Linked DNA regions of Oryctolagus cuniculus. The protein of the gene in region 4 purifies or fractionates together with the protein of the main gene of each other region. This does not show direct contact. Links are inferred from orthologs where the notes say so. Each region holds a gene or a part of one and is shown on either strand. Other genes may lie near its edges.

Region 1 (4,230 bases), on a different chromosome or scaffold from region 4:
ATGCCTGAGATACTCTCACTGGCTTTTTAGCCAGATCCGAATGAAAAAGGCTATTTTCTAAGTAATTAATTAAAAAAGAAGTTATTTTTTAATTTATTTATTTATTTTATTTATTTATTTGAAAGGCAGAGTAACAGAGAGAGAGAGACAGAGAGATCTTCCATCTGCTGTTTCACTCCCCAAATGGCCATAAAAGCCGGAGCTGAACTGATCCAAAGCCAGGAGCCAAGAGCTTCATCCGGGTCTCCCATGTGGGTACAGGGCTTGGGCCATCCTCTGCTGCTTTTCCCAAACACATCAGAAGGGAGCTGGTCAGAAATGGAGCAGCCAGACTTGAACTGGCACCCACATGGGATGCCGGCATGACAGGTGGCAACTTAAACCATTAAGCCACAATGCTGGCCTCAAAAAAGTTATTTTAAGGTACCAAAATCAAGCCCCTGCAGCATGATGTGATTCAGATGCACAGAGCCAGGAAAGAAATGGTTATTTCTGAACCAGAAGGCTGGAATCGTGGTACTGGTTCCCTTCAGGGCTGTGCAAATTCAGACAAGAAACAGAAATCTTCTACGGCTGCTTCTTCAGCTCTCCAGAGAAGGGGTCGGTCCTGTCACCAGTTAAGGATGCAGACTTGGGGCTGGCACTGTGGTGTAGTGGGTAAAGCTGCCGCCTGCAGTGCCAACATCCTATATGGACGCCAGTTCAAGTCCCGGCTGCTCCACTTCTGATCCAGCTCTCTGTTACGCCCTGGGAAAGCAGTAAAAGATGGCCCAAGTCTTGGGCCCCTGCACCCATGTGGGAGACCCAAAGAAGTTCTTGGCTCCTGGCTTTGGATTGGCACAGCTCCAGCAGCTGTGGCCAACTGGGGAGTGAACCATCGGATGGAAGACCTCTCTCTTTCTCTCTCTGCGTCTCCTTCTCTGTGTAACTCTTTCAAATAAATAAATAAAATCTTTAAAAAAAAAAAAAAAAAAAAGACTGGAGTCACACTGACAAGTCCAAATTCTACATGGGCCTTGGCCCAGCCTTCTAACACCTAGCCAGCAAATCTTTCCAGCTAAATGCGAGTGAAAATAAGATTTATTTCAGAGGATTAAACAACAAGACACATCATGGCAAAACAGAGCCTGGTACAGACAAGTACTAGTAAACACTGGCTTTGATAACCTCTTCAGGGTACTGCCTGGTGATCAGCACGCTTTGCACACACTCATAGACTGAATCTGTTGGAGTGATTATAACTCAACTTTGTAATACTGCCAAGTAATTATAAAGAAGTTCTAATAATCCAATAGACTCACTGACCATGTCACTGTCCTGCTAAAACCCTCCAAAAGCACTCCACTGCTCCCAGGAGGAAGTCCAAACTCCTTCAGATGTCTAAGAAAATCCTTCATAATCAGGAACCTCCCATAGCCTTCCTCTCGTCCTCTATTTTTCTTCCCTCTAGTACTACTAGATTTCCCTCAGTCCCTCGGTAACATCACGGCTCTTCTCGCCTAGAGGTTTCCAAGTATCCTGTCCGCTCTGCCAGTTCTCTTCCCACTAGCTCCTCCCGGCTCACTACTTCTCTCCCTCAAGCCAGCGAAGGTCCTGAAGCTTAGGGAGGTTACAATACATGGATTTGGGGGCAGGCATTGTGGCACTGCTGGGCAGTGGAAGATGGCCTATGCACTTGGGTCCCTGCACTCACGTGGGAGACCCAGGCTTCTGGCTTCGGATCAGCCCAGCTCCAGCTGTTGCGGCCATTTGGGTAATGAACCAACGGGTGGAAGCACTCTCTCTCTCCCTCCCTCTCTCTTTCTCTCTCTAATGCTACCTTTCAAATAAATAAATCTTAAAAAAAAAAAAAAAGACTGCTTGGGATGCCTGCTCTCATTCAAGTGCCAGCCGGAGCCCCGGGACAGCCCCTTCCAATCCAGGTCCCTGCTAATGCACCCTGGGAGGCAGCAGATGATGTCTCAAGGGCCCCCGCCACGCACGCGGGAGACCAGGATGGAGTTCCCGGCTCCTGGCTTCAGCCTGGGCCAGCCCCAGCTGTTGAGTGAAGCGGGGATGGAAGATCTCTATCTTTCCACCATTCAAATGAATTAACTTTTTTTTTAACGGTGTTTTTTCAGGAAATTAAATTTGTCAACAGCTGCACGTGACTGGGCAGCTCACTGTGGGGCAGTTACCTTTACCTTCCGAGAGCCGGATGAAGGCTATGGGGCTTCTCCCCAGAAAACACACAGGCCTATAGCTGAGTTAATATTCAGCGTGTTTAAACATCGCTGAGGCCAAAACGTCAACCCTGAATTCGGACTTCGACACTGGCCTAAGCTCCCTGGAACTCGGTGTCCGCCACGGGCCCACCAAGACGCGATACGTCTCTCACAGTGCCTACGCGGGCCCGTGCCGTAAGGGTTCCACAGCGAGAGCCACCGAAGCCGCGGCGCCACACAGCTCCGCCGGGACCAACCGGTCCATGAGCCCGACTCGCACGCGCAGGGCTCTGAGCATGCGCGGAAGCCCTGCGCATGCGCAGAAGACACCAGCCGGCCTCCCTCAGCCCCAGGGCTCTTTGGGCAACGCCCCCTCAGGAAGCGTCCCGGTCCCTTCCACAGCCCGCTCGCCGTACACTCACCTCTACAGTCGGGATCGGCGCAGCAAGCTCCTCTGGGCTCAGGTTTCCAAACTCCTCCGCTAGCACGTCCATGCTGTTCACGACGAAGGAAAAAGCACACTGAACCTCCACGCCGGCCTTCGGCAAGCAAGCCGAAGCACTTCTGCAGGTCGGTGCGCAACGGCCTAAATGGTCCCCGCCGCGCTTGTTCACAGGTGGCACGACAGAAAGGTTCCGCCTGCTACGGGACGAACCTGCGGTGGAACCCGGATGTGGTCGAGGCCGAGCTGGAAACTGCGCCCCCTGGTGCAGCTCCGAGGTCGTGCCCGAAAGATTCCAATTTCCGACCTACACGTGTATTGGCCAATAATTGAGGGCAGCGGAATACAGTGGTGGTAATTTTAAAAGTAATTCGAGGAAGAGTGCGAACGGATAATTTGCACAATTTGAAGCACTAGGAGAATTCATTTTGTTCAATCCAAAACGCACTATGTAGTCTGGAAGACCAAGAAACTTCCCAAATGCCTAGAAGTAGGGTATTGATTACCTAAACCGCGGTACATGCGTGTGGTGGGATAGCATACAGCCATCACAGCGGACACAAAGTGGGGAGAAATTCGCACTACAGACTAGGGCGTAACAGCACAGTAAGACCAAGGAGTAAGTTCGATAACCAGCACAAGTAGAAATACAATAGGAAAAGATGATATTTAAAGCAATAGGGGAAACCCAATAAGTGATGCTGGAACACCTGACTAGCCATTTGGTTTGAAAAAAAAAAAAAAGGCAAAACACAAGTAAATCCTATAAGGATTAAATATTTCACTGATAAAATCTCAAAATGCCAGTGAATGTATTTGTAATGTGAAGATAGTGAAAGCAGCAACCCGGAAGTCTTTATAAAGGATAATAGAATTCTAAACATGATTTTATGATTCTTTGGAAGATATTTAATTTTATAAACATTTTTAAACATCATAGAGTTTCTTTAGATACACAAGTTGGGGGAAGATAAAGGATTGGTCTCCCTAATTCAGAATGAGCTCTACAAATCAATAGGAGGAAAAAAATCCCACTGTGAAAAACAAGGCACAAGATACCAATAGTTGCTTAATAGATAGAGAGGTAGTGTTTGGGGAGCTGGATGTTTGCATAACTGTGAATATGCTTAATACCAATGAACCTGAACCATTTTTAATGATTAAAATAGCAAGGTTTATGTGTATTTTACAATTTTTAAAAAGTTCATGAAAATTGGTAAATATGTGTAGTACTTTCCAATCCTTCCCCATACATGTAGAACCCTTGCATCGTGTCTCAGCTTGCTTTCTGTGGCTATGATGAAATAGCTGAGGCTCAGTCATGAAGAAAGAGATTTGTTTAGCTCACAGGTTGGGAGGTTCAAGGGCATGACGCTGGCTCCTCAGCTCTGGTGAGGGCTCCCTTGACTGCATCACACAGCACGTGGCACATGGCAGCATGGCGAGGGAAGGGTCACAAGGAAAGACAAGAAGCCCAAGAGCAGTTGAGAGAACTAAATCCTTTCCCAGGGCAGTGCTCCTAGTCACCTTACTACCTGCCACTGCACCCCATCTCTTACAGGTCCACCCCCTCCCAATATCACC
Region 2 (3,510 bases), on a different chromosome or scaffold from region 4:
ACTAAGTCACTAAAAGCGGATGATGCTGTAAGCAGTGTGTCCCACCATCTGTTGGCAACCTGCTATCCTCCACTGCTCCTCGGCACTCCCCTGGTACTGTACAGACGGAAGCCAGGGAGCTACAGTTCCCTGATTCTGGGTTAGATTCTACCAATGAATCTAATTTAGAAGGTGAAAGACAAAGGAACAATGCTATCCTATCCTAACAGAAGTGGTACAGCAATGGGCTTTAAGATGTAAAATTGTGCAGTAGTCTCCCCATGTTTCCTGGCAAATCACCACTTTGTAATACTGAGGGAGACTTAATCACCTCCAGCTGTTTCCCAGAAGTCTTAGCAACTTTGTGACTCTTTGTAAACTAAAGGCACATGACTGATGGCCAATGGGATGGCTGACCATTTCTCTAGCACCTAACCCCTTCTACTGCATTCTTTCCTTCTTGACTACCTGCAATAAATTCTGACCTATCAACATACAGACAAGAAAAAAAATTAGTAATCTAAATACCTCATAATTCTGTTTCTGCTGTTTCTGAAGTGCCAAAGATTCCTCTATAGAGAGCAGCTGTGTAGGCAGATGGTGAAGTGGGAGAAGCCGAGCTGCTGTGATGTCATCAAGATGCTGCTTGTCCCTGCGTCGCCGCTCTTCTGAGGCAACAGGAGACTCTCCCCGCTGTCGGTGACTAGACGAATCACTCTGTCGCGAAGGTAACCTAAAGGAGGGAAAACTTACCTTATACAATCAGGTATTTTCCCATTAATAGAGCAAGTGAGCTCCTAACTTAACAATGGTAAAGTACATCCATACGATCATTTGGTTTTTCATTCTCAGTATGGCATTCAATAAATTACATGAGGTAGTCACTATATTATAAAACAGGCACATGTTGATGACTTCTCCCGACGGTATGTGAATATAAGTGTTCTGAGCACTGCAGGTAGGCTAGACTAAGCCACGGTATTCTGTAGGTTAGGTGTAGTATTTCTAATTTATGATGCGCTACCAAGACATACCCCATCATAGGTCAAGGAGTATATACATACAGCACACACAAGCTCTTTCCTCTTCCTTCCCTCTTTAAATCTTACATCAAGCCGGCACCGCGGCTCACTAGGCTAATCCTCTGCCTTGCGGTGCTGGCACACCGGGTTCTAGTCCCGGTCGGGGCACCGGATTCTGTCCCGGTTGCCCCTCTTCCAGGCCAGCTCTCTGCTGTGGCCAGGGAGTGCAGTGGAGGATGGCCCAAATACTTGGGCCCTGCACCCCATGGGAGACCAGGAGAAGTACCTGGCTCCTGCCTTCGGATCAGTGCAGTGTGCCGGCCGCAGCGGCCACTGGAGGGTGAACCAACGGCAAAGGAAGACCTTTCTCTCTGTCTCTCTCTCTCTCTCACTGTCCACTCTGTCAAAAAAAAAAAAAAAAAAAATCTTACATCAAATCCAAGCTATGTTTTTCACTTATTCATTCAAAGAACATTGGCTATAGGGCTTACTGTCCATAAGAGGAAAATAAACATGTAAACAGTTTCAGTGAAATATAATACCACAGATCCTATCACAGTTGCGGCCAGTTCTAGCAAGGGACAAGGAGTTTGCCAGTTTCAAAAAAGTGAAATTTGAACAGCCTTGGAATAATAAGTGCTCACCATGTAACAGGGGGAGAAGAGCACTCGAGCACCAGGAGTGAGGGGCAACATGGCTGCAGCATACAGAAGTAAGAGGATGGAAAAGCCAGAAAAGGCAAGAGAAGGCTGGGAAGTAGGCTGGGCCCAGATCACAAGGAAGAGTTACAGTCTATATAACTGGTAGAGATTTGCATATTACAAGTTTGATTCTGGCAGGAGTGGAGAAGCACAACTGGGAGTTAAGACTCTAGGCAAGAACAGTCCACAACTATAGCTCAAAAGAGATGCAAACCTTCACTGTGACAGGAGGGGATGAAGATAAGAACATTTATAGAGATGGAAGATTAAGGAAATAAATTATGTGGATCTTCACAGCTAGCAAATATAAAGAAAAGACACCTGGGAGGTAGTAGAGGGGATGGGGCAGAGAGATATGGCAGCACTATAACCTAGAGATTATGGGAGGAAAGTCAGTTTAGATATAAATAGGAGTTTCACTTTGTACATGAAAAACCTGAATTGTCACAGACACCCAAGTGGTCATGTTTTATAGATAACATGCCACACAAATCTAAAGTTTTAGCAAGACTTAGACTAAAAGTAGATAAAAGGCAGCTTTTGGCATTCAAATTGTCTCTGAAGCCAAAGGAAAGCGGAGAAGGTGCCAAAGGACACAACCTCATCCACTGTCCAAACTCCCAGGCACTGCTCACACATGGAAGCCACCCATTCCCTGCCTATTTATGGCCTACTGACTCATCAAGGCCTAGCTTTTCCTGATCTCTTCTAACTGCACAGAAAATTCCTTCTCTTTAAATTCCTTAACCTTCAGAGGCCCTCATTATTATTTCCTTATCTCTCTCTTGCTCCCAACAAGATCATAATACATAATCAGGATCATTATATCTTTTATTTATTGACTAGATTTTCTAAAATGTCCTTATAGAAATGAAGAAAGATACCTCACTGCATACAAGATGAGAGATTACTCACAGATTACTTTTTATTACTAAAATTTAAAGTTTTAGTTTCTTACACACCAGAAATAAGATGATTTGATGTTAAAAACAAATAAAGAGTGAGGTAGGATAAAGCTGAAAGTTCATTCAAGTCCCTTTATAATAATAAAATCACAAAAAAACCACCTTTTTGATATTTTTAGCTAAAGATTTTGTTTTTCAAAGTAGTATAGTGATAGTTTGAGTTTGGATCTGATGTTCCATCTTTGGAAACAGGCATGAACCAGCCACTACTTGCCGATTTGGACGTTACACCTGCTACAAGTAATTACCTACTATTTTCTCTTAAAGAGGTTTTTTTCCTGGAGATCTCAAAAACCAAACAATGGCAAGAAACTCAGAAGCAAGGTTTTTGCCCATGCTGCCTGAATCTGTTTTCACAGTTTATTATCCTCCTCTCTTCTCCCTTCCCACTGAAACTATTATTATATACTTTGATTTTTTTTCACCAGGTATGTAAACCTTGATTCCTCATCAGCATCCTAGACTGAGTAACAGAAACTATTTCACTGTGTCCTCACAGCACCAGAGGCCTACATATAGCATGAACACACAAGTACAAGTACAATTTTGCTGAGAGTCCATCACTTCCTGCATTGCTTTGCCCTTACAGACTAATCAAAGGGGGAGCAGTAACCAGAAACTGGTTCTAATAAAAAAAATCAATAAATTCTCTCCTTAGCTCTGTTTATTATGAAATACTGGCTAAGTATCCTGAAATTTAATACTCCCCCACCAACATAAAATCTGTTCAATTATTTGGCTTTAAAAACAAAAGTATTTTTCAACAAGAATCCTCTTTCCAGTGAGGCTAGTCTCACTGCTTCCATAATATGCCCCATCTCTAACCACAAGCAGCACTCAAAG
Region 3 (3,967 bases), on a different chromosome or scaffold from region 4:
GGGTTGGAATTGGGATCAAACTCCATCTCTGATGGGATAGACTGAAAGGAAAAGTCAAAGTAGGTCAACACTGTCATTTCCTTATCTATACACTTCTTTGGGAGGCAGAGAATACCCATCCGCTGATTTACTCTCCAAATGCCCACAGTGGCCCAAGCCTGGGGCCAGAGCCAGGAGCTGGGAACTCCGTCCAGGTCTCCCACCAGGGCAGCAGGGACCCAGTCACTTGAGCCATCACCAACCGCCTTCGTAGGGTGCACATTAGCAGAGGCTGGAGTCAGCAGCCAGAGATGAGTATAGAACCCAGGAGGGTCAGCACTTTCAACAGATGCTTCAGTAGATGACCACAAACGGGCGCATCTTTCTAGCCCCTACCCGGTGTCCCAGCCTACCCGGTGTCCCAGACTTACGTGTCGAGAGATGAAGCAAGACATTGGCCCAATTTCTGTGAAGAGTCCAACCTACAAGGAAAACGAATGATTTCGCTTTTTCTTCCCCTCCAAGTCTTTTGTTCCCATTTTTACTTGATTCCTACAATTTTACTCATGTTCTATGACCGGTATGAATTGTGGCATTTGTTTGCACTTCTCTTTTTTATTAACATTTCATTATGTATTTAGCTATTTTATGTACCTGAAACGCAGAGTGACAGAAAAAACAGAGAATCAGATCTTTTGTCCAATGGTTCAGTCCCTAAATGGCCCCAGTGGCTGGGACTGTACCCAAGACCCCAGAATACCAGCCAGGTCTCCCACGTGGGTGGCAAGGCCCCAGCACGTGGGTCATCTTCCACTGCTTTCTCAGGCACATTAGCAGGAAGTAGCACAGGAAACAGCACCTGGATGCCAACCGGCACACTGATACTCAACAATACTGGAATGTAAGTAAGCCTAACCCACTGCACCACAATGCCAGCACCAATCTTTCATTTTAAGTTAAGTAAAAACAGTGCAGTAGTAAAGAGCCTACACCTAGGACTTGAGAGAGAGAGAGAGAGAGAATCTTTCATCTGCTGGGTCACTCTCCAAATGGCTGCAATGATTAGGGCTGGGTCAGGCAAAAGCCAGGAGCCAAGAACTTCCTCTGAGTTTCCTACATGGGTGCAGGGGCCCAAGGACTTGGACCATCCTCCACCACTTTCCCAGGAGCATTAGTAGGGAGCTAGATGGAAAGCGGAACAGCCGGGACTTGAACCTGCACCCATATGGAATGTCGGTGCCGTATGTCATGGATTTAACCCGCTGGGCTACAGCGCTGGCCCCAGGACTCTACCCTTACGACTATTAATACTGAATCACGTGCCTCCTGAGTGAGGCAGGACCAAGATTCCTAGAACCATTTGCCAAGTGAGGAAACTGAAGTACAAAAAAGTGACTTAGCCAAAGGCACAGAGTTAGCAAGAGGAGCAGGGACCCAAACCAGCTCCTCCCAGGGACCACCCCGTTGCCTCCTCTATGTGAGGACTCACCTTGTTGACCTGAGTGACAACTGCATCCACGACCTCACCTTTAAAGGGCCGGAAAACAATGGCCTTGTACTTAACAGGATAAAGCACAAAGCCTCGGCCTGGCTGAATCACTCCTGCGCCGATGTTGTCTATGGTGGTGACAGCAATGACGAAGCCATACCTGTGAGGAGGATGAGAAAGAGAAAGGTTCTATATGCGGAAGGGCCTCTAACGCCATCTGCAGCAAGAGTCATCGAGCCTGGGAAGGGGTTAAGAGGGGAAGCAGACAGCATCTCTGCCCCCAGAGCGCTTCAGAACCAAGAGAAAGGGCAGGGATCAGCATCTGTAAAGGCCACGCGCTGCTCTCCTGTTTCACAACAAACATCCGAAGTGGCTGCAGTCTCTGACCTCAATCTTCGAGCTGCCTCAGAATCACCTGGGAGGAGCGTGTGAGCAGGCAGAGTCCCAGGCCTGCCCCAGAGATGTGAGGAGTCTTAGGAACGAACGTGCATCCAGGGTAATCTGGCTTTGCTGTAGGCTCAAGTACCGCCCGGCCCCGAGCTGAGTTCCAGTCCACTCCTACCGCTCTGGGAAGAACCCAAGGACAGTCAAGCCCCAGCCTCCTTCCTTCCTCACCCCGTCGACCCGCATTCTCTGGTCATTCACTCAGGAAACACACTGTGCCATGCCAACTCCCTGGGCTCAGCAGAAACCGAGGGACAAGGGTTAAACTGTGAGCCCCACGCGTGCTGGCCTCATTCCATCTTGTTCTCTGCATGTTCCCAGGGCCCAACACGGGGCCCGGCTCACAGCAGGAGCTCGAAAAACGCGCAGTAAAAGAATGAGAAATCTAGGCTGAAGGAAGTTACGGAGCGCTCCCCAGCGTGGGTGGCAAGGTGCTGCAGCCCACGCTGGGAGGGGGGCGGCTGCAGGTACAGGGTCCCGTGTGCGCGCCGCCGAGACCACACGCACGGCCACAGTACTCACTTGCCAGTGCAAGTCCCCTCCACCTCGGTGAAGAGCTTCTGCTTCACGGTGTTGAGCAAGTTAGGGCCAAAGTAGCGCGGGTGCAGCAGGATCTCGTGCTCCAGGGAGATCTGCGGAGACAGCGGAACGCAGACGGAGGATACGGGGCAAGCAGCAGCCCTCCGCACCGGCGCCCCGTTCCTCCTCTCGACCCAGCCCTCGCCATCACCCCGCGCCCTGCTCACGTGGTAGAACATCTTCCCCGACGAGACTCTAAAACAAGCCGCCACCAGCGCTACAAACACCGACCCACTGGCTTCACCGGAAGCGCACGCCGCGCAGCCGCCCCTCGCTTCCGGGTCCGCCGGAAGTGGGCGGGACTCCTTCCAGTCGATGGATACGATTGGGCCTCCCTGTGGAGGATTGATGAAGCTCCGCCCCTCGGTTCCTCCGACTGGCGCTCAAACCTTGCCCGCTCCGCCAAGTAACTTAAAGTATTTGTGAACTGAATATTTTAAACTGAATTAATTCCTGGTGAAAGATGACATAATTATTTTAACAGCGGAGTCATTCAGCAAGTATTTTACAGACTGCTTTCCCATAGTCAATGTGGTGTTAAGTATCTAGGTGGATAGTAGCCTTTTTTTTTTTTTCAAGGTTTTATCTATTTGGGAGGCAGAGTTAGAGAGAAGTAGAGAGAGAGAGGTCTTCCATCCCCTGGTTCACTCCCCAAATGGCCGCGAAGGCCGGAGCTGGCCCAATCTGAAGCCAGGAGCCTACTCAGGGTCTCCCACGTGGGTGCAGGGCCCGAGGACTCAGGCCATCTTCCACTGCTTTCCCAGGCCATAGCAGGGAGCTGGATCAGAGGTGGAGCAGCTGGGACTCGAACTGGCGCCCATATGGGATGCCGGCAATGGAAGCCGCGGCTTTACCCGCTATGCCACAACGCCAGCCCCTGCTCCACTTCTGATCCAAATCCCTTCCAAAAGCCTGCGAGAAGCAGTGGAAAACGACCCAAGTGCTTGGGGCCCTGCACCCACAGAGGAGACCTGGAAGAAGCCCCTGGTTCCCAGCTTTGGCCTGGCCCAGGCCTCATCGTTGTACCCTTTGGGGAGTGAACCAGTGGATAGAAGACTTGTTCCTTTCTCTCTCACTGTAACTCTGACTTACAAATAATTAAATAAATATTTTTTAAAAAAATTGTTGGCGGCTGGCGTTGTGGTGCAGTGGGATAAAGTCATGACCTGCAGCACTGGCATCCAATATGGATGCCGATTCAAGTCCTGGCAGCTCCACTTTTTTTTTTAAGATTTTATTTATTTATTTATTTATTTATTTTGAGAGGTAGAGTTACAGAAAGTGAGAAGGAGAGACAGCAAGAAAGGCCTTCCATCTGCTGGTTCAGTCCCAAAATGGCGGCAACGGCTGGAGTGCTGGCCCCAGCTCTACTTCTGATCCAGCTCCCTGCTAATGTACCTGAGAAGGCAGCAAGTCCTTGGGCCCCTGAAACAGGGGCCTGTGGGAGACCCAGAGGAAGCTCCTGGCTCCCTACTT
Region 4 (4,113 bases):
GGTAACTATTGCATATGCGTTTTATTTTTCATGTATGTCTTGCAGATCACCTGCAATTCTGCTTAAATCCTGATGGCTGCGAGTTTTCTCGCAGTGTGTTATCTGAGCTTTTCACCATACTAGAAAGGATGTATTCCAGTCTGTCTGTATGTATTTATTTATTCTAGGCCAGATTTGGTCTTACCTTTATAGCTTCCCAATCTAATGCCTACAGCGAGCTCAATAAAACTGGTTCGGGCTCCTGCGTTATTAATCCATGGTATTTTCTTACTCTATTTTAAATAAAATAACTGGGGTTTTGAAGGCAGCCCTTTGAACAGTGATTAAGGGATGCGGGAACGGATACCTTGGCCTGTAATGTTGTAATTTGGTACAGTTTTTTTCCTTTTTTTCAAATTAAGACCGAATGCCCTCCATCCCGCCTGCTACCGCGTGTTCCCAGATCTGATCCCTGCCAAGGGCCGTGGCCCCCGCCGTTAACAGCCCCTCAGCCAACCTCAGACACAGGGCCCCGCGCGGCCCGGGGGCGCCGCCCGCCCTCCGCCTCTGGGCGACCCCCGGGGGCCGACGCCAAAGCGTCCCCGGCGGGGCCCGAAAACTCCACGCAGTCCTCGCACTCGGCTCCGAGCGTCCCCCCCCCCCCGGCCACGGCCGCCGCCCGCCCCCGCCCTCCCGGGCGCTCACGACCCCGGGCTGGGCGCCGTCCCCCCAGCCCCTCCGGGCCCCCGGCCTCACCCGCCGCCGCCGCCGCCGCCCTCGGTCCCGGCCACCGCGGGCGGCTCGGCCGAAGAGTCGGCCCCCGGCCCCCGGCCCGGCATCTCCCCGGCGCCCGGACGGCGAGCTGCGTGCGGGAGAAGCGGGCCCTGCCCCTGCCCCCTCTGCACGCGTGCGTCAGGCGGGAGGTGTCGGGGCGACACCTCGGGAAGCTGGGAGGGCTAGGAGACCCACGACCCCGGATCTGCGGGAGTGCGTTACTTGGTGGCGAGTCTGTGCTTTCGCATCTTTTTGTGCAAGGGACGCGTCACGGGAACGAAACGCACACGCTCCCCTGAACACGAGGTGCCTTCCACCTCAGGGTTCCAGACCCTCAGCACATTTGCAAAGCTTGGGTGGCACCGTCCGAGCCCAACGCCAATGCGCAAACCAAGAATCAGGGATGCTGAGCGTTTGCCGTTATCCTTTGTCTCCCTGGCAACCAGGCTCCGGCGGCTACCCAACCGCGGGTTTCCGCCAGCCGCTTCTGCGCACGCGCAAGACCTCCTCCTTCACTCTCTCCCTCCCTCCCTCCCACCTCTCTCCTCCCCGCCCCTTCCGTGTCTCCCGGACGCGTTTCTCACGGGACTTGGCCCGCGGAACGTTCCGTAGCCGGAGGTGTGACTTACCCGGAAATGTATAAGGAGCTTCGGTTGCGATTGGTTCGCACCTCGCGCTCCCGGAAGTGGGTGGGCGTGGCGCCAAGGCTGAAGCGGGAAGTGTGCCGTACGGCCCTGGAGAAGCCGAGGGTCGGCATGCCTCGTTACGCGCAGCTGGTCATGGGCCCCGCCGGCAGCGGGAAGGTGAGATTTGGTGGGAAAGGAGAGAAAGATCGTAACCCGTGTGAGGCGAGGGTTCGGTCCTGAGAGAAGGGCGTGTACCGAGGGCCTTGAGACTCCGCGCCGTTCGCTTCTGCTCTCGGTCTTCGGGGTCCTGTCGTCTTGCAAGGGGGTCGTGGCGGTTGTTGGTGGACGCTTAGGCCCCGGGTTGGAGTAGCCCAACCCTAGGAGATGGGTCTTCTTATTCCCGTTTAGGGAAGGTCGCGCGCGTACGAGTCGGGACCTGAACTGGAATCCGGGTTTGTTTTGTTTTTCTGACTCCAGAATCCTGTCCTTTCTCCCTCCCAGGAGACTAAAGTGGGGTCTTTGTGGGTGTTTCCCAAAGCCTGGGACGTGGACTTCTGGTATTTGAAGGGATTTTAGATGGCAGTGGGACCCCGCGTTACGGAACATCGGCTCGTATGCTCAGAACATTCCCCCTTCCCCTTCTGGATTCCACTGCGGTGAAGCTACGCTGGCTTCTAACGTAGCTCCATTTTTTAAAAAAAGGACTTATTTTATTTATTTGAAAGTCAGAGTCAGAGTTAGAGAGAAGGAGAGGCAGAGAGAGAGAGGTCTTCCATCCGCTGGTTCACTCCCCAATTGGCTGCAATGGCCAGAGCTGAGCCAATCCAAAGCCAGGAGCCAGGAGCCTCTTCCAGGTCTCCCACGTGGGTGCAGGAGCCCAAGGACTTGGGCCATCTCCCACTGCTCCCCAGGCCACAGCAGAGAGAGCTGGATTGGAAGTGGAGCAGCCGGGACTTGAACCGGCACCCATATGGGATGCCGGCCCTGCAGGCGGGGGCTTTACCCGATACACCACAGCGCCAACCCCCATGATGTTTTTTGTCAACAAATATTAAGGGCATGGTGGTAGTAGCACTCAAATACTGTAAAACCAGTGAAGATATTGAGCAAATAACGTAGTTGGGGAAACACTGGAGTTTGTGGAGGTGTCAGGAGGCGTCAGTGTTCAGCAGAAGCACCTGCTGAGCCACTGCCCCCTCCTATGCAGGAGGTTCCACACGGGACTGAGATTTGGCCGTCTCCTGCCCAGGGGCACAGCCTGGCTGGGAAGAACGGTGACTGCCAGTTAAGATACAGCTGGATGGGGAACTGGCTGTTAGCCTAGCAGTTAAGAGGTCTGTGTCCCACATCTGCACGTCTGGGTTCAGTGCCTGGTGCCAGCTCCTGGGTCCAGCACCACGGTGCCGCAAGTTGGGCTGCCACCTGTGACACCAGCATCTCACGGGCACTGGTTCAGTTCCCGGCTGCTCCACTTCTGCTCCAGCTCCCTGCGAATGCATCTGGAAAAGCACCAGGAAGTGGCCCAGTGGTTTGGCCCCTGCCACCCACGTGGGAGACCTGGATAGAATCCTGGCTTTGGTGCAGCCGTTTGAGGAATGAATCAGCAGATGGAAGATCTCTCTCTCTGTCTCTCCTCCTCTCCCTCCAACTCTGCATGTCAAATAAATAATCTTAAAAAAAAAAAAAAAAAAAAAGGGAAACTGAGTTCCTGCCAGCTGCGTGGCAGATCTGGATTAAGATCTTTCTCTCTCCCTCCCTCCCTCCTTCCCTCCGTCTTAAAATTTAAAATAAATAAAAAAGGAATGAGAAGACAATGCGGTGTATGGAGAGGGCTTCCTAGGCAGAGAAAACAGTGTGTGTGAAGGCACTAAGGGGAGAGCATGATGGGAATTATTTCTTTTGACAGAGGGTGGGAGGGATAAACAAGTAGATGCAGGATTTTTATGTGATGTAGTAAGGACTACACAAGGGATAAGGAATCTCTGAACCAGAATTTGAGGGGCCAGTGTGGTGGTGTAGCAGGTTAAGCTGCCATCTGCAATGCCAGAATCCCATATGAGCATCAGTTCAGTCCCGGCTGCTCCACTTCTGATCCAGGTCCCTGCTAATGTGCTTGGGAAAGCAGTGGAAGAGGGCCCGAGGAGCTGGGTCCCTGCCACCCACATGGGAGACCTGGGTGGAGTTCTGGTTCCTGGCCTCAGCCTGGCCCAGCCTCGACCATTGCAGTCATCTGGGGAGTAAACCAGTGAATAGAAGACCTCTCTCTCTCTCTCTCTCTCTCTCTCTCTCTCTTCCTCTCTCTCTCTCTTCCTGTCTCTGGTACTTTGCCTTCCAAATGAATAAATAAAAAAATAAAATCTTTTTTTTTTTTTTTTTAAGTTGCAAACTGCTAGCCCACCTCCAGGCTGTATATTGGCCTTGGTGTTCCCTCATCTAGAAATGCTCTTCCTCTGAGTTGGCAAAACGTTCCCGTAGGCTCAGGTATCCCCTACTAAGAGACACCGTCCCTGGCCGTCCTACCCAAGTCTTTGTTTGGACCTTGCTGGTTCTAGTGGAGACACGATGTGTTGGGTGCTGCACCGTGTAACCAGAAGCCTCCCCTTTGAGTTCCTTTTCTTCCACGTTAGAGCAGTGATGGGCCTTGGTTATCTTGAAGGGCATCCCAGTTAGAGAGGAGACACCTGAGGGCAGAGTGGGGAAGCACCTTCCCCAGAGTTCCCATGAGTCCACGCTC
Region 5 (4,249 bases), on a different chromosome or scaffold from region 4:
AAGGCAGGCCAAGTGGTCCCCAGCATCCCCCGTCTCTTGCAGGCCCAAGGAGGAGGTCACAGTGAAGAAGGAGAAGCGGGAGAGGGACCGAGAGCGGCAGCGGGAGTGGCATGGGCGGGGCCGGGGCCGCCCGGAAGTCATCCAGTCCCACTCCATCTTTGAGCAAGGCCCCGCTGAGATGATGAAGAAGAAAGGTACAAGGAAGGGGTCAGGAATGGAGGCGGGGCCAGAGCCACGGAGGCAGGCCGGAGCCACGGAGCGCCCGCTGCCGGCTAGCTGCTGAACAGGGTGGTTTCCCGCAGGGAGCTGGGATAAGACCGTGGATGTGTCGGATATGGGTCCCTCTCACATCATCAACATCAAGAAGGAGAAGAGGGAGACGGACGAGGAGACCAAGCAGATCCTGCGCATGCTGGAGAAAGACGACGTGGGTGCCGGGGCGGGGAGGGGGTTCGCTATTGCGGGGGCTGCCGGGGTGGGAGGAGCGAGGGGCAGCGGCCCGTGACCCCGCAGCTCTGCCTTGGCAGTTCATCGATGACCCTGGGCTGCGGAACGACACCCGGAACATGCCTGTGCAGCTGCCGCTGGCGCACTCGGGCTGGCTGTTTAAGGAGGAGAGCGAGGATCAGGATGTGAAGCCTTGGCTGGCCGGCCCCAAGGAGGAGGACATGGAGGTGGACGTGCCCTCTGTGAAAGGTATTCCGGTATCCCTCAGGCCAGGCCTGAGCTGCTCCTGGGTAGGCCCTGCCCCGTTCCACCTGTCGTATGTGTGAGCTGGACACCCGTACTATAAATATATTACTGTATACAAACCCTCTCGGAGGATTCCCGCGTTGACCTGCCCGGGGGCCACGCCTCCGACAACCCTGCCTAGCTCTTAGAGCTGCGCGTGCTCTCTCTCGCCCCTCACCGTTGTCAGTCTCCCCGTGGCTCCTCGCTGAGCGGTAGTGGGGTGGACAGGGCAATAGGTGGCATGGAGGCGCCCACTTCGTATCTCCTCTGTGTTTGTTACCCTGGGCAGTAAAAGAGGAGCCACGAGACGACGAGGAGGAGGCTAAGATGAAGGCTCCTCCCAGAGCGGCTAGGAGGACGCCAGGCCTCCCGAAAGACGTGTCTGTGGCAGAGCTGCTGAGGGAGCTGAGCCTCACCAAGGAGGAAGAACTGCTGTTCCTCCAGCTGCCGGACACGCTCCCCGGCCAGCCGCCCACCCAGGACGTCAAGCCCATCAAGACAGAGGTGCAGGGCGAGGACGGGCAGATGGTGGTCATCAAACAGGAGAAGGACCGGGTAGGCGTCCCGGGGAGCCCTGGGGGAGCCCGAGGTGGTGGGGTGAAGGCGTGCAGGTGCAGGCATGCACTCTCAGCACCTGCCAGAGCCTGGGCTTTGCACTGCCAGCCCCAAATCCGTGTACGTGCGCCTGCTTCCTAGAATGAACAGTTTCAAACATGCAGGCGTACTTGGAAAAATCCGTGGAAAGTGCACATTATGAAAAGCTGCACGGCTTTCAGGCTGTTTTGCACCACAGGAAGCCTCATTTTCCAGAGGGTTTTTTTTTTTTTTTTTTTTTTTTTAATTTATTTTATTTAGCTGAATGGCAGAGTTTTAGAGAGAGAGAGAGATCGAGATCTTCCATCTGCTGGTTCACTCCTCCAATGGCTGTGATGGTCAGGGCTGGGCCAGGCTGGAGTCATAAACTTCCTGCGGGTCTCCCACATGGGTGCAGGGGCCCAAGGGCTTGGGCCATCTTCTGCTGCTTTCCCAGGCCACAGCAGAGAGCTGGATCAGAAGTGGAGTAGCCGGGACTAGAACCAGCGCCCATGTGGGATGCCGTGGTTTCACCCACTGCACCGGAGCGCCAGCCTCTGCAGTCATTTTTACATCTTTTACAAGGGCAGAGACTCCTGTGTCCCATCCCTTAGCTGCAGCTGTTGTTGGTTTGTTTTAAAGATTTATTTATCTGAGAGAGTTGCAGAGAGAGAGAGAGAGAGAGAGAGAGAGATCTTTAGTCTGCTGGTTCATTCCCTAGGTGGCCACAGTGGCCACGGTTTGGCCTTGCTGAAGCCAGGAACTCCATCCAGGTCCCCATGTGGATGGCAGGGACCCAAGCACTTGGGCCACCTTCTACTGCTTTCCCGGGCCATTGGCAGGGAGCTGGATTGGAAGTGGAGCAGCCGGGACTTAAACTGGCGCCCCATGGGATGCCAGCATTGCAGGCAGCGGCTTTATGTACTATGCTACAGTGCCAGCCCCAGCTGTTGATGTTTTATACATTTGTTTTCTCTGTGTTTTGGCCATTTTTTTTTTTTATTTTTAAAGGTTTACTTATTTATTTGAAAAAATTAGAAGGAGACAGACAGAGATCGATCTTCTGTCTGTTGGTTCACTCCCCAGATGGCTGCAATGGCCTGGCCTGCGTTGGGCCAGGCCAAAGCCAGGAGCCAGGAAATTCATCTGGGTCTCCCATGTGAGTGCAGGGGCATAAGCACTTGGTCCGTCTTCCACTGCTTTCCCAGGGAGCTGGATTGGCAGTGGAGCAGCCAGGACTCAAACCGGCGCCCATATGGGATGCCAGCACCACATGCTGTGGCTTTACCCACTACGCCACAGTGCCGACCCCAGGTTTTGTCTTTTAACCGATGGCAGATTGCCCTTGGAAAAGGCCCTCTCTGGGGGCCTTACCCTGGTCTGGGCTGCCAGTGCCTTCCCCTGGGAGATTGGGGTTTGTTCCTGAAGGGTGGAGGAGAGAGCTCCTTGCCCAGTCTGCACCCCCTTCCTCTCTCCACAGGAAGCCAGGCAGGCAGAGAACACGTGTGCCCTGGCTGACCTCACGGAGGGGCAGGTTGGCAAATTGCTCATCCGCAGATCAGGGAAGGTGCAGCTCCTCCTGGGCAAGGTGACTCTGGACGTGACCATGGGGACCGCCTGCTCTTTCCTGCAGGTGAGCACCCTGTGCCGCAGGGAGAGGCGGGCAGGGCTCGAGCCCCGAGGAACGGGAGCCGCTGGCCAGGGACAGCTGGGGGTTCTCACCCCGTCTGTCGCTTGGCAGGAGCTGGTGTCCGTGGGCCTTGGAGACAGCAGGACGGGGGATCTGACGGTCCTGGGCCACGTGAAGCACAAGCTCGTCTGCTCCCCTGACTTCGAGTCCCTCTTGGATCACAAGCACCGCTGAGCAGCAGATGGAGGAAGCTGCGCCTGCCCACGGCTGCTGCCTGCCGCAGGCGTTTTGTTCTGGAGTCTGTGGCCCAGAGGGGGCTGTGTGGCCTGCCCACTCGGGCCTCTGGCAGCTGGCGCCCCACTTGCACCCCGGGGCCCCCGGGCTCCCTCCCGCAGTGTGGATGTGGCATATCCTTGCTGCTGGGGCCTAGTCCTTGCTATTTATTTTTGTATTTATATCTTAGCATCTGCAGCCAGCTGCGTCCCCGGTGAGGGTGTGGGGGAAGTACAGGCCCCTCCTCTCGATGCCTGCAGGGCCGGGGGAGGAGGGTGTGGAAAGGCCTGGCCTTTGCCCGTGCGCCCTCCCCCACGAGGCCGTGTGGGCGAGAGCAGAGGTGGAGTGTGGATGAGAGGACTCGTCCATTCCTAACCTTTCTGAACCTCACGTTCCTCATCGGACGGAAGTGGGGCTAGCACCTGCCTCGCGGGGTTGGCGTGAGGATCGAATGGAGCTCTCTAGGTGGCAGCTCCTTGCACACAGCCAGACGTGTACCTGGTGGGCGCTCAATAAATGTTTGTTTCCTCTTCCTTGCCTGAGTCTGTGTTTGTGCAACGTAGAGCTTGCCTGTCCCTCCAGTGACTAGAACCGCACACTCCCCACTTTTGTGCCTTCACTGTTTCTTTTAAAAATTTTTGCTTGTTTATGAGACAGACAGAGCTCCATCCGCTGTGTCACTCCCCAAATGCCCACAGCAGCTGGAGCTGAGCCGTGACCGCAGTCTGGGTCTCCCGCGCGTGTGGCAGGAACCTAATCACTTGAGCCATCCTGCCGCCTCTACCTCTCAGGGTGTGCGTTAGCAGGACGCGGAGTCAGGAGCCAGAGCCGGGGCCTGGACCTGGGCCCTGCGGTGCGGGATGCGAGGGTCTGGGCTGCTAGGCCGAACGCCTGCCCCTCTCTTCATCTTCCTCACCCTGGGTCCTGGCCCTTTTCCTGGTTACTCTTAGCCAAGTGCTTCCTGTGTGTTACCGGGCGAAGATGGCGTTGGAAGAATGGGAAGAAGTCCGGTTTCTCCCCACACCCTACACCTTGGGTGGG

Evidence for each region.
Region 1: the proteins of GPN3 (region 4) and POLR3B purify together in Homo sapiens (affinity purification with mass spectrometry; 3 studies listed by BioGRID and IntAct, counting the BioPlex papers as one, with this or other methods). This does not show direct contact. The link is inferred for Oryctolagus cuniculus from reciprocal best matches to the Homo sapiens genes GPN3 and POLR3B.
Region 2: the proteins of GPN3 (region 4) and POLR2M purify together in Homo sapiens (affinity purification with mass spectrometry; 3 studies listed by BioGRID and IntAct, counting the BioPlex papers as one, with this or other methods). This does not show direct contact. The link is inferred for Oryctolagus cuniculus from reciprocal best matches to the Homo sapiens genes GPN3 and POLR2M.
Region 3: the proteins of GPN3 (region 4) and POLR2G purify together in Homo sapiens (affinity purification with mass spectrometry; 3 studies listed by BioGRID and IntAct, counting the BioPlex papers as one, with this or other methods). This does not show direct contact. The link is inferred for Oryctolagus cuniculus from reciprocal best matches to the Homo sapiens genes GPN3 and POLR2G.
Region 5: the proteins of GPN3 (region 4) and POLR3D purify together in Homo sapiens (affinity purification with mass spectrometry; 3 studies listed by BioGRID and IntAct, counting the BioPlex papers as one, with this or other methods). This does not show direct contact. The link is inferred for Oryctolagus cuniculus from reciprocal best matches to the Homo sapiens genes GPN3 and POLR3D.

Annotation. Positions count from the first base shown.
Region 1 is NC_091442.1:108,967,373-108,971,602, reverse strand, and holds the start of POLR3B (DNA-directed RNA polymerase III subunit RPC2), read right to left. Parts: upstream 2,806-4,230; 5' UTR 2,699-2,805; coding exon 2,627-2,698; intron 2,487-2,626; exon of another isoform or gene 2,184-2,486; intron 1-2,183. UniProt on the Homo sapiens protein: Catalytic core component of RNA polymerase III (Pol III), a DNA-dependent RNA polymerase which synthesizes small non-coding RNAs using the four ribonucleoside triphosphates as substrates.
Region 2 is NC_091443.1:80,576,110-80,579,619, reverse strand, and holds part of POLR2M (protein GRINL1A), read right to left. Parts: intron 713-3,510; coding exon 508-712; intron 1-507.
Region 3 is NC_091432.1:8,823,685-8,827,651, forward strand, and holds the start of POLR2G (DNA-directed RNA polymerase II subunit RPB7), read right to left. Parts: upstream 2,811-3,967; 5' UTR 2,671-2,810; coding exon 2,659-2,670; intron 2,545-2,658; coding exon 2,435-2,544; intron 1,629-2,434; coding exon 1,469-1,628; intron 462-1,468; coding exon 411-461; intron 42-410; coding exon 1-41. UniProt on the Homo sapiens protein: Core component of RNA polymerase II (Pol II), a DNA-dependent RNA polymerase which synthesizes mRNA precursors and many functional non-coding RNAs using the four ribonucleoside triphosphates as substrates.
Region 4 is NC_091452.1:8,131,412-8,135,524, reverse strand, and holds the start of GPN3 (GPN-loop GTPase 3), read left to right. Parts: upstream 1-1,309; 5' UTR 1,310-1,388; coding exon 1,389-1,556; intron 1,557-4,113. Other genes in the region: protein FAM216A, read right to left, coding at 736-818. UniProt on the Homo sapiens protein: Small GTPase required for proper localization of RNA polymerase II (RNAPII). May act at an RNAP assembly step prior to nuclear import.
Region 5 is NC_091439.1:1,075,015-1,079,263, reverse strand, and holds the end of POLR3D (DNA-directed RNA polymerase III subunit RPC4), read left to right. Parts: intron 1-42; coding exon 43-194; intron 195-302; coding exon 303-427; intron 428-527; coding exon 528-696; intron 697-1,021; coding exon 1,022-1,287; intron 1,288-2,785; coding exon 2,786-2,938; intron 2,939-3,046; coding exon 3,047-3,169; 3' UTR 3,170-3,741; downstream 3,742-4,249. UniProt on the Homo sapiens protein: DNA-dependent RNA polymerase catalyzes the transcription of DNA into RNA using the four ribonucleoside triphosphates as substrates.